Anolis sagrei: one gene and its partner. The main gene of each other region encodes a partner of the protein of the gene in region 2 in a complex. Links are inferred from orthologs where the notes say so. Each region holds a gene or a part of one and is shown on either strand. Other genes may lie near its edges.

What was found.
Region 1: ZC3H13 (region 2) and METTL3 share a complex: the UniProt entries of both Homo sapiens proteins name them as parts of the WMM complex. The link is inferred for Anolis sagrei from reciprocal best matches to the Homo sapiens genes ZC3H13 and METTL3.

The regions. Positions count from the first base shown.
Region 1 is NC_090026.1:10,921,586-10,928,615, reverse strand, and holds the start of METTL3 (N6-adenosine-methyltransferase catalytic subunit), read right to left. Parts: upstream 3,016-7,030; 5' UTR 2,950-3,015; coding exon 2,856-2,949; intron 302-2,855; coding exon 99-301; intron 1-98. UniProt on the Homo sapiens protein: The METTL3-METTL14 heterodimer forms a N6-methyltransferase complex that methylates adenosine residues at the N(6) position of some RNAs and regulates various processes such as the circadian clock, differentiation of embryonic and hematopoietic stem cells, cortical neurogenesis, response to DNA damage, differentiation of T-cells and primary miRNA processing.
Region 2 is NC_090021.1:140,393,961-140,401,832, reverse strand, and holds the start of ZC3H13 (zinc finger CCCH domain-containing protein 13), read right to left. Parts: upstream 3,014-7,872; 5' UTR 2,794-3,013; intron 1-2,793. Other genes in the region: DNAJC18 (dnaJ homolog subfamily C member 18), read left to right, coding at 3,506-3,542, 6,976-7,162. UniProt on the Homo sapiens protein: Associated component of the WMM complex, a complex that mediates N6-methyladenosine (m6A) methylation of RNAs, a modification that plays a role in the efficiency of mRNA splicing and RNA processing.

The sequences.
Region 1 (7,030 bases), on a different chromosome or scaffold from region 2:
TCACTTTCTCATGGGTCCTGCACCCCTAACCTCCACAAAAGGAGGCCTCAAGCAATGTTGCTGACAGGCCTCAAGCAATGTTGGTGCCTTGTTCTCACCGTTGAAATGGCAAGGCAGATGGACAAGGCATCTGTGGGCAACGCCAGTGCCAGATCCGAAAGGTGATGAAGGAGTTTCTTCTCAAGCTCAGGGTCTGTTACCAGATCCCCAGATTCAGTAGCAGTGCTGGGTGTGACAGACGAAGAGACCGGGCTGTCACTGCGGAAGGGAGGGCTGAGGGCCAGCTCTGGATTCCTGAGGTCTGGAAAGAGGATGGAAGAAGACACAATAGCACTGTCCATGCAAGAAACATTTTGTCATTTACTCCATTTCTGTTTCAACCTGCTGTCCTCACTTTATTCTTTCCTTGGCCTTCAGCCTTGTTTGACATTCAACCGGGCCAACTGGATTGGAATTCCCAGCAGCCTCATCCAACACCAGAGGCACTCCAAGTGGCCAGATACTGGTCAAAGGACATTTAATCAACTACCAAGCTTGCAAATTTTGTGTTTTGTCTGTTTGTTTGTTTTGTTCTGTTAGAAATGTAATACAATTGTCTGGTTGCCCCTGACACGATAAATAAATAAATCCAACACATACTATGGCTGAACTGGGAAGGACAGTCCAACAATACCCAGATGCCATGTGATTTCCATCCCTGGTACATTGTATTACCCATAGAAATCTTAGTCACATATTCCAAAATAAAAATGTGGAGGAAATCTGAGGTCATTTTTGGATTTAGAGCACCAAATGTATATCAAACTAGCACACAGTTTTATACAGTTTTTATGACCCTCAGTTTTGTTGGTTTCTCCAAACTTAGTGTACCTTCATCACCTTGTGAACTTATGCTGACTCCATGAATTTTATAGGGTCTTTTTTGTTAGCAGAGCATCCAAAAACACAAATAGAGTACTTATAATTGAGCATTCAGTTCACAGCTCACAGCAAGCAGAGCGTGAAGTGTTGTGGCCAGGAAAGAATTTAGAGTTTAGGAGGTAAGATGCAGAGTTCAATCTTTAAAGTTACAAAAGGTTTATTTACAAAAATGATAACTACATTTCTTAATAGTAAAGAACTCGTCTGAGCTACTCTCTAACTCCAACTGGATCTAGACACTAGACTCCTGCTGATGCAAGCCAAAATCCCATTGGCCTTTTTTGCCGCCGCATCACATTGTTGGCTCATGTTTAACTTGTTGTTCATGAGGACCCAAAGATCTGCAAGTCGCTTCTGGTGTGAGAGAATTGGCTGTCTGAGAGGATTTTGCCCAGATGTTTTACCATCCTGTGGGAGGCTTCTCTCATGTCTGACTTGGCCACTGTAGTCCGCTGTGGTTACATCCCGTATAAACTACTGCAACGCTCTCTACGTGGGGTTGCCTCTGAAGACTACTCGGAAGCTTAAAATGGTCCAACTGTCGGCAGCCAGGATGCTAACAGGAGCGGCTCTCAGGGAGCATACCATTTCTCTGTTGCGCCAGCTCCACTGACTGCCAATTTGCTACCGGGCACAATTCAAAGTGCTGGCTTTAGCCTTTAAAGCCCTAAACGGTTCTGGCCCGACCTATCTGTCCGAATGCATCTCCTCCTATGAACCAGTTAGGACGTTAAGATCGTCTGGGGAGGCCCTGCTCTCGATCCCGCTGGTTTCACAAGCACACCTGGCGGGGACGAGAGACAGGGCCTTCTCAGTAGTGGCCCCCCGGCTGTGGAACGCCCTTCCTACAGACATTAGATCGGCCCCCTCCTTATTGACATTCAGGAAGAGAGTGAAGACCTGGCTCTTCGAACAAGCTTTCAACTAAGCAGTGCAATTGATTGATTTCTGGAATATGGATTAATGGACAACGAGATCGGATGCTGATTCTATCGATGAGACGTGATGGATTGTTGTTTTCCTGTATTGTTGTATTGATGTTCTGATGTTAATTAATTGATTTAATTGTTTTAAATGATTAATGATTTTGTACTGTGTTGTTGATACTGGTTGTTAACCGCTCTGAGTCACCTGATGGCTGAGAAGAGCGGTATACAAGTGAAGCAAATAAATAAATAAATAAATGTCCCTGCACGAGAAGCTGGAGCTGACAGACAGGAACTCACCCTGCTCCCTGGATTCGGACTGCCGACCTTTCGGTCAGCAGAACTACATGGGAGTTGTAGTTTTGCAAGGCCTTCTGTGGCAAAGAGTGCTGGTGCCTCACCAAACTACAGCTCCCAAGATTACATATTATAGAGCCAAGGCAGAGAAAGTGGGGTCAAACTGCATTCATTCTACAGTGATTAACTGATGTCCAAAGCCCTGGAAAGCTAGAGGAGATTCCATCTGAACATGAGGAAGAACTTCCTGACTGTGAGAGTCGTTCAGCAGTGGAACTCTCTGCCCCGGAGTGTGGTGGAGGCTCCTTCTTTGGAAGCTTTTAAACAGAGGCTGGATGGGTTGTTGTAGGTTTTTCCGGGCTATATGGCCATGTTCTGGAGGCAATTTTTCTCCTGACGTTTCGCCTGCATCTATGGCAAGCATCCTCAGAGGTAGTGAGGTTGAGAGAGGTAGAGAGGCTGGATGGCCATCTGTCAGGGGTGATTTGAATGCAATAGTCCTGCTTCTTGGCTGAATGGGGTTGGATTGGATGGCCCAGGAGGTCTCTTCCAACTCTTTGATTCTATGATTCTCTCCATTTTACCTTCACCCCCTTTTCACACATACAAGCCCATAAATGGCCTTTGCTTTCCCATTCAAACCACCACAAAACCATTCCGGCCTTCATTATTATTATTATTATTATTATTATTGCTATTATTATATTTTACCCAGGGGTTCTTGCTTCCGCCTCCGCTGCAGCCGCTCCCGCAGCGAGTCCAGCTGCTTCTTGTGAGCCTGGATCGAGCTCCATGTGTCTGACATCTCCCCGGCCAGTACATCAGCCAGAAAGGCGTCTCAAATAGGCAACCGGAAGTCTCTCCCTGGGGGACGGAGGGACGGAGATAATGTGAGCACACTTCCGGTTTGAAGCTCTTTAGGGACAGAGCGGTCGCTAAGACAAAGGGGAAGTGGATGTTCAAGCCGGAGCGATGCTCAAGCAGCCATTTTGGAAATGGGCACATTTTCCCTCTTTCTTGTTCCCGCCTGCCTTTGCATCATCTGCTTCACATATTTATTATTTTTATTATTATTTATTTATTATTTGCATTTATTGACCGCCCCTCTCAGCCCGAGGGCGACATATGAGATGCATGGTTTTGAATAGGGTTTTCTGAGACGAGGTGGCTTTGGCAGTTGTTTCCTATGAAATATAGCCTACTGTGGTATCTCAATCCTTCTAGGCTTGCCTTCAAGTTACACCCTTTTTAATTTTATTATTATTAATATTAATATTAATATATTATTTCAGTGGGACAATGAATTCTACGAACAGAAAGATGGAGTAGCTATGGGGAGCCCTCTCAGCCCGGTCATAGCTAACTTCTATATGGAACACTTTGAAAAACAAGCCCTGGAGGCAGCAACCAAAAAGCCCACGATATGGTTCAGATATGTGGATGACACCTTCACCATTTGGAGCCACGGAGAAGAAGAACTCAACAGGTTCCTGGACCATCTTAACAGCATCCACCCAAACATCCAGTTCACTGTGGAAAAAGAAAAGGAAGGAAGACTGCCTTTTCTAGATGTCCTAGTCATCCGTAAACCAGATCAACAATTGGGTCACACCGTTTACAGAAAACCCACACACACAGATATCTACATAAAAACTCCAACCATCACCCAAGTCAAAAAAGAAGCACCATTAAAGCCTTGGCAGACCGTGCAAAAAGAATCTGCGAATCCCACCTCCTCCAAGATGAACTGAACCACCTCAACTGGGCTCTCCAGGCCAATGGAGACTCCACCTCAGACATCAGAAGAGCTGCAAGACCAAGAACAAGCCACGAGAGTCAAGATGAAGATCCACCCAGAGGAAAAGTGTTTCTGCCATACATCAAGGGAACCACTGATCGCATAGGGAAGCTGATGAGGAAACACAACATACAAACAATCTACAAACCCACCAAGAAAATCCAACAAATGCTACGTTCAGCAAAGGACAAGAGGGATCCTCTCATCTCTGCAGGAGTCTACCGTATACCATTCAGCTGTGGACAAGTCTACATAGGGACCACCAAACGCAGCGCCCAGACACGCATCAAGGAACATGAAAGGCACTGCAGACTCCTTCAACCAGAGAAGTCAGCCATAGCAGAGCACCTGATGAACCAGACTGGACACAGCATTTTATTTGAGAACACAGAAATGCTGGACCACACCAACAACCACAATGTCAGACCACACAGAGAAGCCATTGAAATCCACAAGCATGTGGACAATTTCAACAGAAAGGAAGAGACCATGAAAATGAACAAAATCTGGCTACCAGTATTAAAAAACTCTAAAATTACAACAGCAAAACAGCAGAGAGGAAACAACCAGGCACATCTTAACACCTCTCAACAAAAGATTCTCCTAGGCTCAGCCAGGCCTTCAAATGCTAATGAAGGTGGTCAGTTGAAACATTCACACCTAGCTCCAGCAGGGAAGAGCTCTTTGCCCCACCCCAGCCATTCCACAGATATATAAACCCATTGTCCTAATTCCAACAGACCTCACTACCTCTGAGGATGCTTGCCATAGATGCAGGCGAAATGTCAGGAGAAATGCCTCTAGAACATGGCCCTATAGCCTGAAAAAACCCACAAGAACCTAAACAATACATCAATTACGCAATAAAAACCAGGGCCGGGCCAGTGATGGGTACAGGTTAAAAAAGTGCTGGGTGTGGCAGGTGGTATTTTGGATTTCCGGGCAAGTGCAATGTGCAGAGAGTCCTAAACTCTAATAAAGTGCTTCTGGGACGTAGTGCTGGAGATTATCCTATTCCGGAAAGGCACATCGGAATAGCCAGGTCTTCAGATTCTTCCTGAAGACTGCCAACGTGGGTGCTAGTCTAATGTCTTTGGGGAGGGTGTTCCAGAGTCGGGGGGCCATCACAGAGAAGGCCCTGTCCCTCGTACCCACCAAACTCGCCTGTGACGCAGGTGGGATCGTAAGCAGGGCCTCTCCGGATGAACAAAGGGATTGTGTGGGTTCATACACGGAGATGCGGTCACGCAGGCAGGCAGGTCCCAAACCGTTTAGGGCTTTGTAGGTAAGCACCTGCACCTTGAATTGGGTTCGGTAGGTAAACGGCAGCCAATGGAGCTCCTTAAACAGAAGGGTTGACCTCTCTCTGTAAGGAGCGCCCGTTAACATCCTGGCCGCCACCCGTTGAACCAGTTGGAATTTCCGAGCCGTTTTCAAGAGCAGCCCCACATAGAGCGCATTACAGTAATCCAATCTGAATTTGAAATTTGAAAGGGTTTTTCATAGAATTATAGATTTGAAATAGATTATTACTTACTTAGGCCACTGTTTCTCAACCTGGGGATCGGGACCCTTCGGGGGGGTCGCAAGGGTCCCCAAAGACTATCAGAAAACACAGTATTTTCTGTTAGTCATGGGGGTTCTTGTGTGGGAAGTTTGGGCCAATTTTATCGTTGGTGGGGTTCGGAATGCTCTTTGATTGTAGGTGAACTATAAATCCCAGCAACTGCAATTCTTAAATGTCAAGGTCTATTTTCCCCAAACTCTACCAGTGTTCATATTTGGGCATTGTGCTGGTACAGCTGTACCAGGAGCTCCAACTTTATTTTCTTTCTGTTATCTGTTTGCAGTCATAGGGCAGGCCGCCTGTCCATCATAATTAAGCTTTGGTTCCGCCCCTTGTTCAGGACTCTGGGAGGGAAAGGAGCCATTTTTTTTTGGCAGTCTCACATAAGGAAGCTAAACTATAGGATGTAGACCAGCTCGTCCCGTAGAAAAGCTTCTTTTCTCAAGAACATCCGGGGAAACATAAACAGATATTCCAGGGAAAAGGTCCCAAGGCTCTGGCTGAGAGCTCATAGCCTCTCAGCCTCACAGCAATCAGAGGGAAAACAACCCTGAGGTTTTAAAAGAATTCTCTGAGGGAGGATAGAACTACAGATCCATGGAACTCCATCTGAAATGACTACAAGCCTCGGCTGGTAGGTCTACTCGATACCCAGACACATTTGGAATTGGTAGTAGGACCCACACCAATGAGGCATAGATAGTAAACAGCCTGGGAGAGGTTAAATAGGGTTTTTTTTCCTACAGAGAAAGTACAGTTAATTAAAGTCAGGTACCAGTCCATTGAGGACTAGACTAAGAAAGACTTGAAGTGTTGTTTGAACCATTGAAGATTTGTTGTTTGTTCCATAATAAAGACTTTGTTTTATCATTAAAGACTCTAAAGACCATTAGTTCAGAAAAATCCCTGAGAACCTCTCTTTGAGGCTTCCTGTTGGGCTTAAAGTATACGTCCTATAGAAAAGACAGCTGTTACAGGCCCAGCACGTGACAGAACAGGCATATTGAGGATTTGTGCCAAGTTTGGTCCAGATCCGTCATTGTTTGAGTCCACAGTGCTCTCTGGATGTAGGTGAACTACAACTCCAAAAACTCAAGGTCAATGCTCACCAAACCCTTCCAATACTTTCTGTTGATCATGGAAGTTCTGCAAGCCAAGTTTGGTTCAATTCCACTGTTGGTGGAGTTCAGAATGCTCTTTGATTGTAGGTAAACTATAAATCCCAGCAACTACAACTCCTAAGTGACAATTCCCCTGCCAACCCCACCAGTATTCAGATTAGGGAATATTGAGTATTTCTGCCAAGTTAGGTCCAGATACATCATTGTTTGAGTCCATCCAAATGACAAAATCACCCCCCCCCCCCCCGTCACCCTACCAGTATTCGAATTTGGGCCAAATGTGGTCTAGTGAATGAAAATACATCCTGCATATCAGATGTTTACATTACAATTCATAACAGTAGCAACATTACAAATATGAAAGTAGCAATAATGTTATGGTTGCGGGGCCAACCAAGGG
Region 2 (7,872 bases):
ATGAGCAAAATTATTAAGAATATTGTGTATAAAATTAACTTCAGGCTATGCGCATAAGAAAAACATGAATTATAAATTTCTTCTTTAGATTTGGTTCCCATCTAAAAGATAGATACATCTATTCAAATACAGCTATTTCAAAATACGGGGGGGGGGGGGGGTTAAAAATCCAAAACATTCCCATTCCCAAGGATTTGGGATAAGGAATATTTAACTTGCATTTATTTGACCGATATGTACAGAACTTATTTGATAGATATGTTCCTAGGGTAAATATGAGGAAATTACTGTAGACTGTCAGTTAATCGGCACTTGTGGGGATTGGTAGATGCCAGATAAATGTGGTTTCTGATTGCTTCAGAGTTACTATTAAAAACAGGACCACCTAATACTATACAAACTCTGTATTGACTTGATATTGATAATGTAATACAGCAGCTAAAAGCAAATGAGGACAAAGTTAATGTAACATTTAATACATTATAAATACTGATTTTTCTATATTTTAATTTTTATTCAGAGTATTACGGTATTGTTTCATTTTTTAACGATTGCTTGGGAGTTCCTGTTGCTTGAATTTCAGTTAACCGAGTTTCTACTTAATGTAACACTTAACACATTATAAAAATTGATATTACTAAATTATTAAAATATATTTACATTTTTATTTAGAGTATTATAGTCTTTGTTTTCAAATTTTTGCCCAGTTGCTTAGGAGTTCCTGTTAACTGAGAGTCTACTGTTCAGGTATTCCAAATGGGGGTGGGTCTGTAAATCCCAAACACCCCTGGTCTCAAGTATTTTGGACAAGCGATCCTCAGCATGTATAGATCCCATTTCTTCGATTCTAAGGTGCACTCCCCCACCCCATCTCAAAAAAACAGGGTGTTTTAGGTCCCATCTACACTGCCATATAAAATCCAGATTATCTGCTTTGAACTGAATTATATGAGTCTGCATTGCCAGATTATCTAGGATTAACAGAAAACCTGAGATCAGATCCTGAGACATAGGACCTGTCTGGAAGGACCCTGGAATATAAATTTATATTTTATTGATATGTTTAATTTTTATTATATGTTATGTTCTTAATTGTATTTATGATATTGTAAGAATTAAATTTTACCCTGTTAACTGCCTTGAGTTGCCTATAGGCTGAGAAAAGTGGTATACAAATACAGTAAATAAATAAATATTTGCTTAGAGAATCTGAATTATATGAAAGTGTAGATCCAGGCTTAGGACCCTTCCAGACAGCCCTATATCCCAGAATATCAAGGCAAAAAAACCCATATTATCTGAGTGTGGGCTCAGATAACCCAGTTCAAAGCATATATTGTGGGATTTTCTGCCTTGATTTCCTGGGATATAGGGCTGTGTGGAAGGGCCCTTAGAATCGCATGTGGGTTTTTTTTCCTGTTTGTGGTACTAAAATGATCCACAATATCTGCTTTGAACTGGGTTATCTGAGGGCCCTTCCACACAACCCAGAATATCTGCTTTGAACTGGGTTATCTGAGGGCCCTTCCACACAATCATATAATCCAGAACATCTGCTTTGAATTGGGTTGTCTGAGGCCCCTTCCACACAACCATAAAACCTAGAATATCTGCTTTGAACTGGGTTATCTGAGGCCCCTTCCACACAACCCAGAATATCTGCTTTGAACTGGGTTATCTGAGGCCTCTTCTACACAACCATATAACCCAGAATATCTGCTTTGAACTGGGTTATCTGAGGGCCCTTCCACACAATCATATAACCCAGAACATCTGCTTTGAACTGGGTTGTCTGAGGCCCCTTCCACACAACCATATAACCCAGAATATCTGCTTTGAACTGGGTTATCTGAGGGCCCTTCCACACAACCATAAAACCCAGAATATCTGCTTTGAACTGGGTTATCTGAGGGCCCTTCCACACAATCATATAACCCAGAACATCTGCTTTGAACTGGGTTGTCTGAGGCCCCTTCCACACAACCATATAACCCAGAATATCTGCTTTGAACTGGGTTATCTGAGGGCCCTTCCACACAACCATAAAACCCAGAATATCTGCTTTGAACTGGGTTATCTGAGGACCCTTCCACACAATCATATAAACCAGAATATCAAGGCAGAAAATCCCACAATATCTGCTTTTGAACTGGGGGCCCTTCCACACAGCCATATAATGCAGAATATCAAGGCAGAAACTGGGCTATCTGAGTCCACGCAGCCATATATATATTCCAGTTCAATACAGATGTGGGATTTTATACAGTTGTGTGGAAGGGACCAATGTGTGCGTCTTAGAATCGAAGAAATGCGGCCTTCCTTGGATATGTACCCCACTTTAGAAGCGGTTCCTCGCAAGGAGGTGGGGGAATGACCTACGCTCCTGGGCTCTGGGAGATTCATGTATTTCAGTGGTTCTCAACCTTTGGGTCCCCAGATGTTTTGGCCTTCAACTCCCAGAAATCCTAACAGCTGGTTAAGTGGCTGGGATTTCTGGGAGTTGTAGGCCAAAACACCTGGGGACCCACAGGTTGAGAATCACTGATATATTTCTTCTCTTGGATTGTGTAGACCAGGCCTGCTCCAATTAGGCCCGGCAGGTGTTTGGGCCTCCAACTCCGAGAACTCCTCCTCATTGGGCAAGCTGGCAAGGGCTTCTGGGAGTTGGAGGGCTAATGGATGAATCCTAGTGTAGGATGCCTGGTCCTTCAGGCCCACAAGCACTGGTTCCCTCCCTCCTTCCTCCCTTCCCGCCCTCTTCCGCTGGGGGTTCCGCGGGCCAAAGGCTCTCACCTGTTCCCTCCGCAGCCGCCCCGCCCCTCCCCCCCGCCGCCGCCCCCGCCGCCGCCGCCCAGGGCGGAGAGGGGGGGAGAGGGCGAGCGGGGAGTCCGTCCTCTCGGGCCTAAGAGCCGCGCCGCACGGGGAGGAAAAGGAGGAGCGCCGCCCGCTCCGCCCGCAGCAGCCTCAGCAGCCGCGCAACGACGCCTCCCTCAGCACCGCCGCCGTTCTTCTTCTTCTGCGCCTCAGCTCTTTCCCCTCCTCCTCCTCCTCCCCCCGCCCTTGGCCGCGCGAGACAACCGAAATCCAGACACGAGCCCCACTTTGCACAGCAACCCCCCTCCCCTTTGAAGTGCGCCTGCGCGACCAACCGCTGCCTCACAGCGCCGGCGCGCGCCACTTCCGGCCCCGCTGTAGCAAAGGCGCCATAGGAGAGCGAGGCCCACAAAGCTTTTCAAAAATGGCGTATTTCCGGTTCCCCCCCTCCTTTCTACTTCCGGCGTTCGATTGACATTGGAGTGCGCCTCCCTGCACGGACTGAATTGGGGTCTTTTCCAACGCAGTGATTCTAGGCAATAGGACTGCTTCGCGGTCGGTTTTTCCCGCCCATTCTTGGTCTCCGGCGCGGAGGGTCCCGATTGCTCGGGGGACTCCAAGGCCCAGGGCGCCTTGCGCGTGGGAGTCACGTGGCCGCAGGTTTGGCCCCGCCCAGTTCCCCCGATGGATCATGGCCGTTCTGGGCCCGGGGCAGCGCTGGGCCGAAGGTAACGCTCCTTCGGGGGAGGGTCCCTGGAAGAAGGCGGAAGAGGGTGGGCTCTGGGCGCAGAACCACAGGCGGTTGGCCCTCTGCGGGGAGTGCCCGGGTTGTGTCTTCCTGCCTATTAGAAGGGGGTTGGCCCCTTCCCACTGTAAGATTCTATGCAGGGGTCTTATACTGTCATGTCTCCCTTCCAGCTTAGCCTCCTGCCATTTCCCATGGCATTTTGGTTCTACTTTTCCTTATTCACCGGTTTCCGGGGCCAGGAAGACAGTCCCATCTTGTCTCCTGCACTGGGCTAATAATATAAAACTAGCCGTCCCCTGCCACGCGTTGCGGGTTCTATGTGGGAGGTTTGGCCCAATTCTGTCGTTTGTGGGGTTCAGGATGCTCTTTGGTTGTAGGTGAACTATAAAACCCAGCAACTACAACTCCCAAATGTCAAGGTCTATTTTCCCCAAACTCCATCAGTATTTACATTTGGGCATATTGAGTAACCGTGCCAAGTTTGGTCCAGATCCATCATTGTTTGAGTCCCCAGTGCTCTCTGGATGTAGATGAACTACCACTCCAAAACTCAAGGTCAATGCCCATCAAATCCTTCGAGTATTTTCTGGTTCAAGTTTGGTTCAATAGTATCATTGGTGAAGTTCAGAATGCTCTTTGATTGTAGGTGAACTATAAATGAAATCAACTACAACTCCCAAATGACATAAGCAATTCCTTTTCCCAATCCCAGTAGTATTCAAATTTAGGTGTTTTGGGTATTTGTGCCAAATTTGGTCCAGTGATGAAAATACATCCTGCATATTGGATATTTACATTACAGTTCATAACAGTAGCAAAATTACAGTTATAAAGCAGCAACGAAAATAACATTGTGGTTGGGGGTCACCACAACATGAGAACATATATTAAGGGGTTGCGGCATTAGGAAGGTTGAGAAGCACTGTTCTATGCAGGGGTCTTATAGCTCTGGATGTTTACACAGGAAATGCCATGTGTCCCAGCTTAGCCTCCTGCCATTTCCCATGGCATTTTGCTTCTACTTTTCCTTATTCACCGGTTTCCAGGGCCAGGAACACAGTTCCATCTTGTCTCCTGCACTGTGCTAATAATATAATACTAGCAGTTCCTTGCCATGCGTTGCTATGGCCCACATGAGGGTTCTATATGGGAGGTTTGGCCCAATTCTATCATTGGTGGGGTTCAGAATGCTCTGTGATTGTAGGTGAACTATAAATCCCAGCAACTACAACTCCCAGATGTCAAGATTCTATTTTCCCAAAACACCAGTGTTCACATTTGGGCATATTGAGTATTCGTGAAGAGTTTGGTCCAGATCCATCATTGTTTGAGTCCACAGTGATCTCTGGAGGTAGGTGAACTACAACTCCAAAACCAAAGGACACTGCCCACCAAACCCAGTATTTTCGGTTGGTCACGGGAGAACCGTGTGCCAAGTTTGGTTCAATTCCATCGTTGGTGGGGTTCAGAATGCTCTTTGATTGTAGGTGAACTATAAATCCCAGCAACTACAACTCCCAAATGACAAAATCATTTTTTTCGAGTGAAGGACATATATTGGGTTGTTAGGTGTCTTGTGTCCAAATTTGGTGTCAATTCGTCCAGTGGTTTTTGAGTTCTGTTAATCCCACAAACGAACATTACATTTTAATTTATATAGATATTGTATATACATATAAAAAGTAAAGGTTTTCCCCTGACATTCAGTCCAGTCATGTCCAACTCTGGGGTGTGGTGCTCATCTTCATTTCTAAGCCAGAGAGCCGGCTTTGTCCATAGACACCTCCAAAGTCATGTGTCTAGCATGACTGCATGGAGCGCCATTACCTTCCCCCCAGAGTGGTACCTATTGATCTACTTATATTTGTATGTTTTTGAACTGCTGGGCTGGCAGAAGAATATAAATATAATTTTGATAATATTATAATGTAATACAATATAATATTGCTAATAATATTACAGTATAATGTTATAGTACAATATAGTAATATAGTAATCAGCAGTGCAAATGGTACCCCAAGTGTCCGAGGACTTTTGTTTTCCTTGCAGTACAATAATAGCTTTTCTTCTGGAACAGGCATCCTCAAACTGTGTCCCTCCAGCAGGTTGGGCCTCCAACTCTCAGAATTCCTGATCATTGAATAAGCTGGATAGAGCTGCTGGGAGCTGGAGGGCCGCAGTTGGAGATGGCCTGCTCTGGAGTTTCTCAAATTATAAGGGGTCTGTGTGTGGAATAAGGGCTGGACTTTAGAGCTGGACTTGGAGGGGAAGTACTAGGGCAAATGTGCCAAAAAGGGTGGTGAAAGAGTTGCAGGAAAAAGATTTAGAACAGAAGTCGTTTTCTGTTTCAAAGTACTATGGGCAAAAGTTTGAAAAGGAAGTTGAAGAAATGTTTATTATGGCTACAGAGGGCTGAAAGAAAGTAACTTAGGCCCATCTACACTGACCATTTAATGCAGTTTCTAACCAGTACTGAAGAAGATGGTTTCACTGGGCAGATGATTACAGAGGAACCGGATGGTGATGACTTAAACCACAGAGCACTGATGCACAATAAGGGCTTTCTTTCATGTGCTTTTGTGGGAGTTTGTTGTCTATCTGCCTCAGGGCCCTTCCACACAACCCTATTTCCCAGAATATAAAGGCAGAAAATCCCACATTATCTTCTTTGAACTGGACTATATGGCAGTGTGGACTCAGATAACCCAGCTCAAAGCAGATATTGTGCTATTTTTTGCCTTGATATTCTGGGGGCCCTTCCACACAGCCCTATATCCCACATCAAGGCAGAAAATCACACAATATATGCTTTCACCTGGGTTATCTGAGTCCACACTCAGATAATGTGGGAATTTCTGCCTTGATATTCTGGGATAAATGGCTGTGTGGAAGGGCCCTCAGTCTGAAGCTATCTTCATTAAATGGCCAGAGTAGATGGGGCCTAAATGAATGGCTCCTGGATGTTTATAATGGTTCCTTCTCTTCTGTTATCTCGCATCAGGGCTGGAGGTGAGAACAGCCAGTTTCACAGTATTCCTCTGCGTACCAGTTGCTGGGGGTCAGGTTCATAAGTATGGCACACAGCAGGTGAGATGTCTTTATCTTCCTCACCTGTAGCAGGCTTCTAAGAAGCATATGCTGGCAACTCTTTGAAACCAGTTTCTTCCCAACAAGAATTCCCAGTCTGCTGTAGCTGGCTTCTTATGTGTAGTTTAGTGTTCCTGAAGCGATTCTTTGTTTTAAGACATACATTTAGTGGACCCTAGTTTGGTGAAACCAATCTGCTTCATACCTTCCACCTTTTGTTATGCATATGTGTCCTTAAATGTATGACCATATGTTTCGCTCTGGTAAATGTACAAATAAGAAATCCGTTTGTTTGTTTGTTTGTTGTTTGTTGGGTTTTTTTGCAGCATTAATTGATGAGCTCAGAAGAAATCCATGTCCATCGGAGGAAGTACAAGACAATTTTGACTACTGTGGCTGTAGTGATTGCATGAGAATGAAGAAGGAGCATGTGCCCGACAGCGGAAGGACTCAGTCAGTGCCTGGGGAAGGGAGCAGCACTTACACAAAGGAGCAATTACTTGGGGTGCAAAGGTAAATAGGAACCCTCTCTGCTTCAGCCTTCTTTCCCCACATGATAACACTTCAGATGTTTTTGAGTATAACTACTAGAATTATCCATGACTATGCTGGGTTGGTTTAGTGGAAGTCCTGTAGATCTAAAGGAGAAGCTTGGGGTGGAGTGGCAACCTGTAATTTGAGTAACTTCTTCTGAACAAATCTTGTTAAGAAAACTCTTCCAAGTTGGAAACAACTTGAAGGTATACAACCACCACAAAATTAATAAATGTGAAGTTCAGTAGCGGAAAGTGCAGTAAATTATCTGAGGTAAATTTTAATTGTGGGAGCAAATTATTAAAAGGTGTAGCCTTTTATTTTTATTTAATCTATTCTAATTCCAACATTTTACTAGGGAATAGAAATACTTTTGATGACTTTTTCTGCTTACAGTGTTGAACTTCTTTAATGGAGTTTTGACAGTCTTAACAGGCATCTATAAAGACAGTTTATGATCATTCTATCATATCTATTATACAGTAAATGCAGTTTAATCAGATTATTGATAATCGTAACAGGATTATAATGTTGATAGCCTAAAATATACAGTAAATGAATTATAAAATTTTAAAAGTTAGATTGCACAAGAAAAGGAATTTTTACATTTGTAACTAGGTTTTCCCAAGCTTTTTGGATTCCAGGATAAATAAATCAACACATCTGGAGGGCACCAGATTAGGATAGCT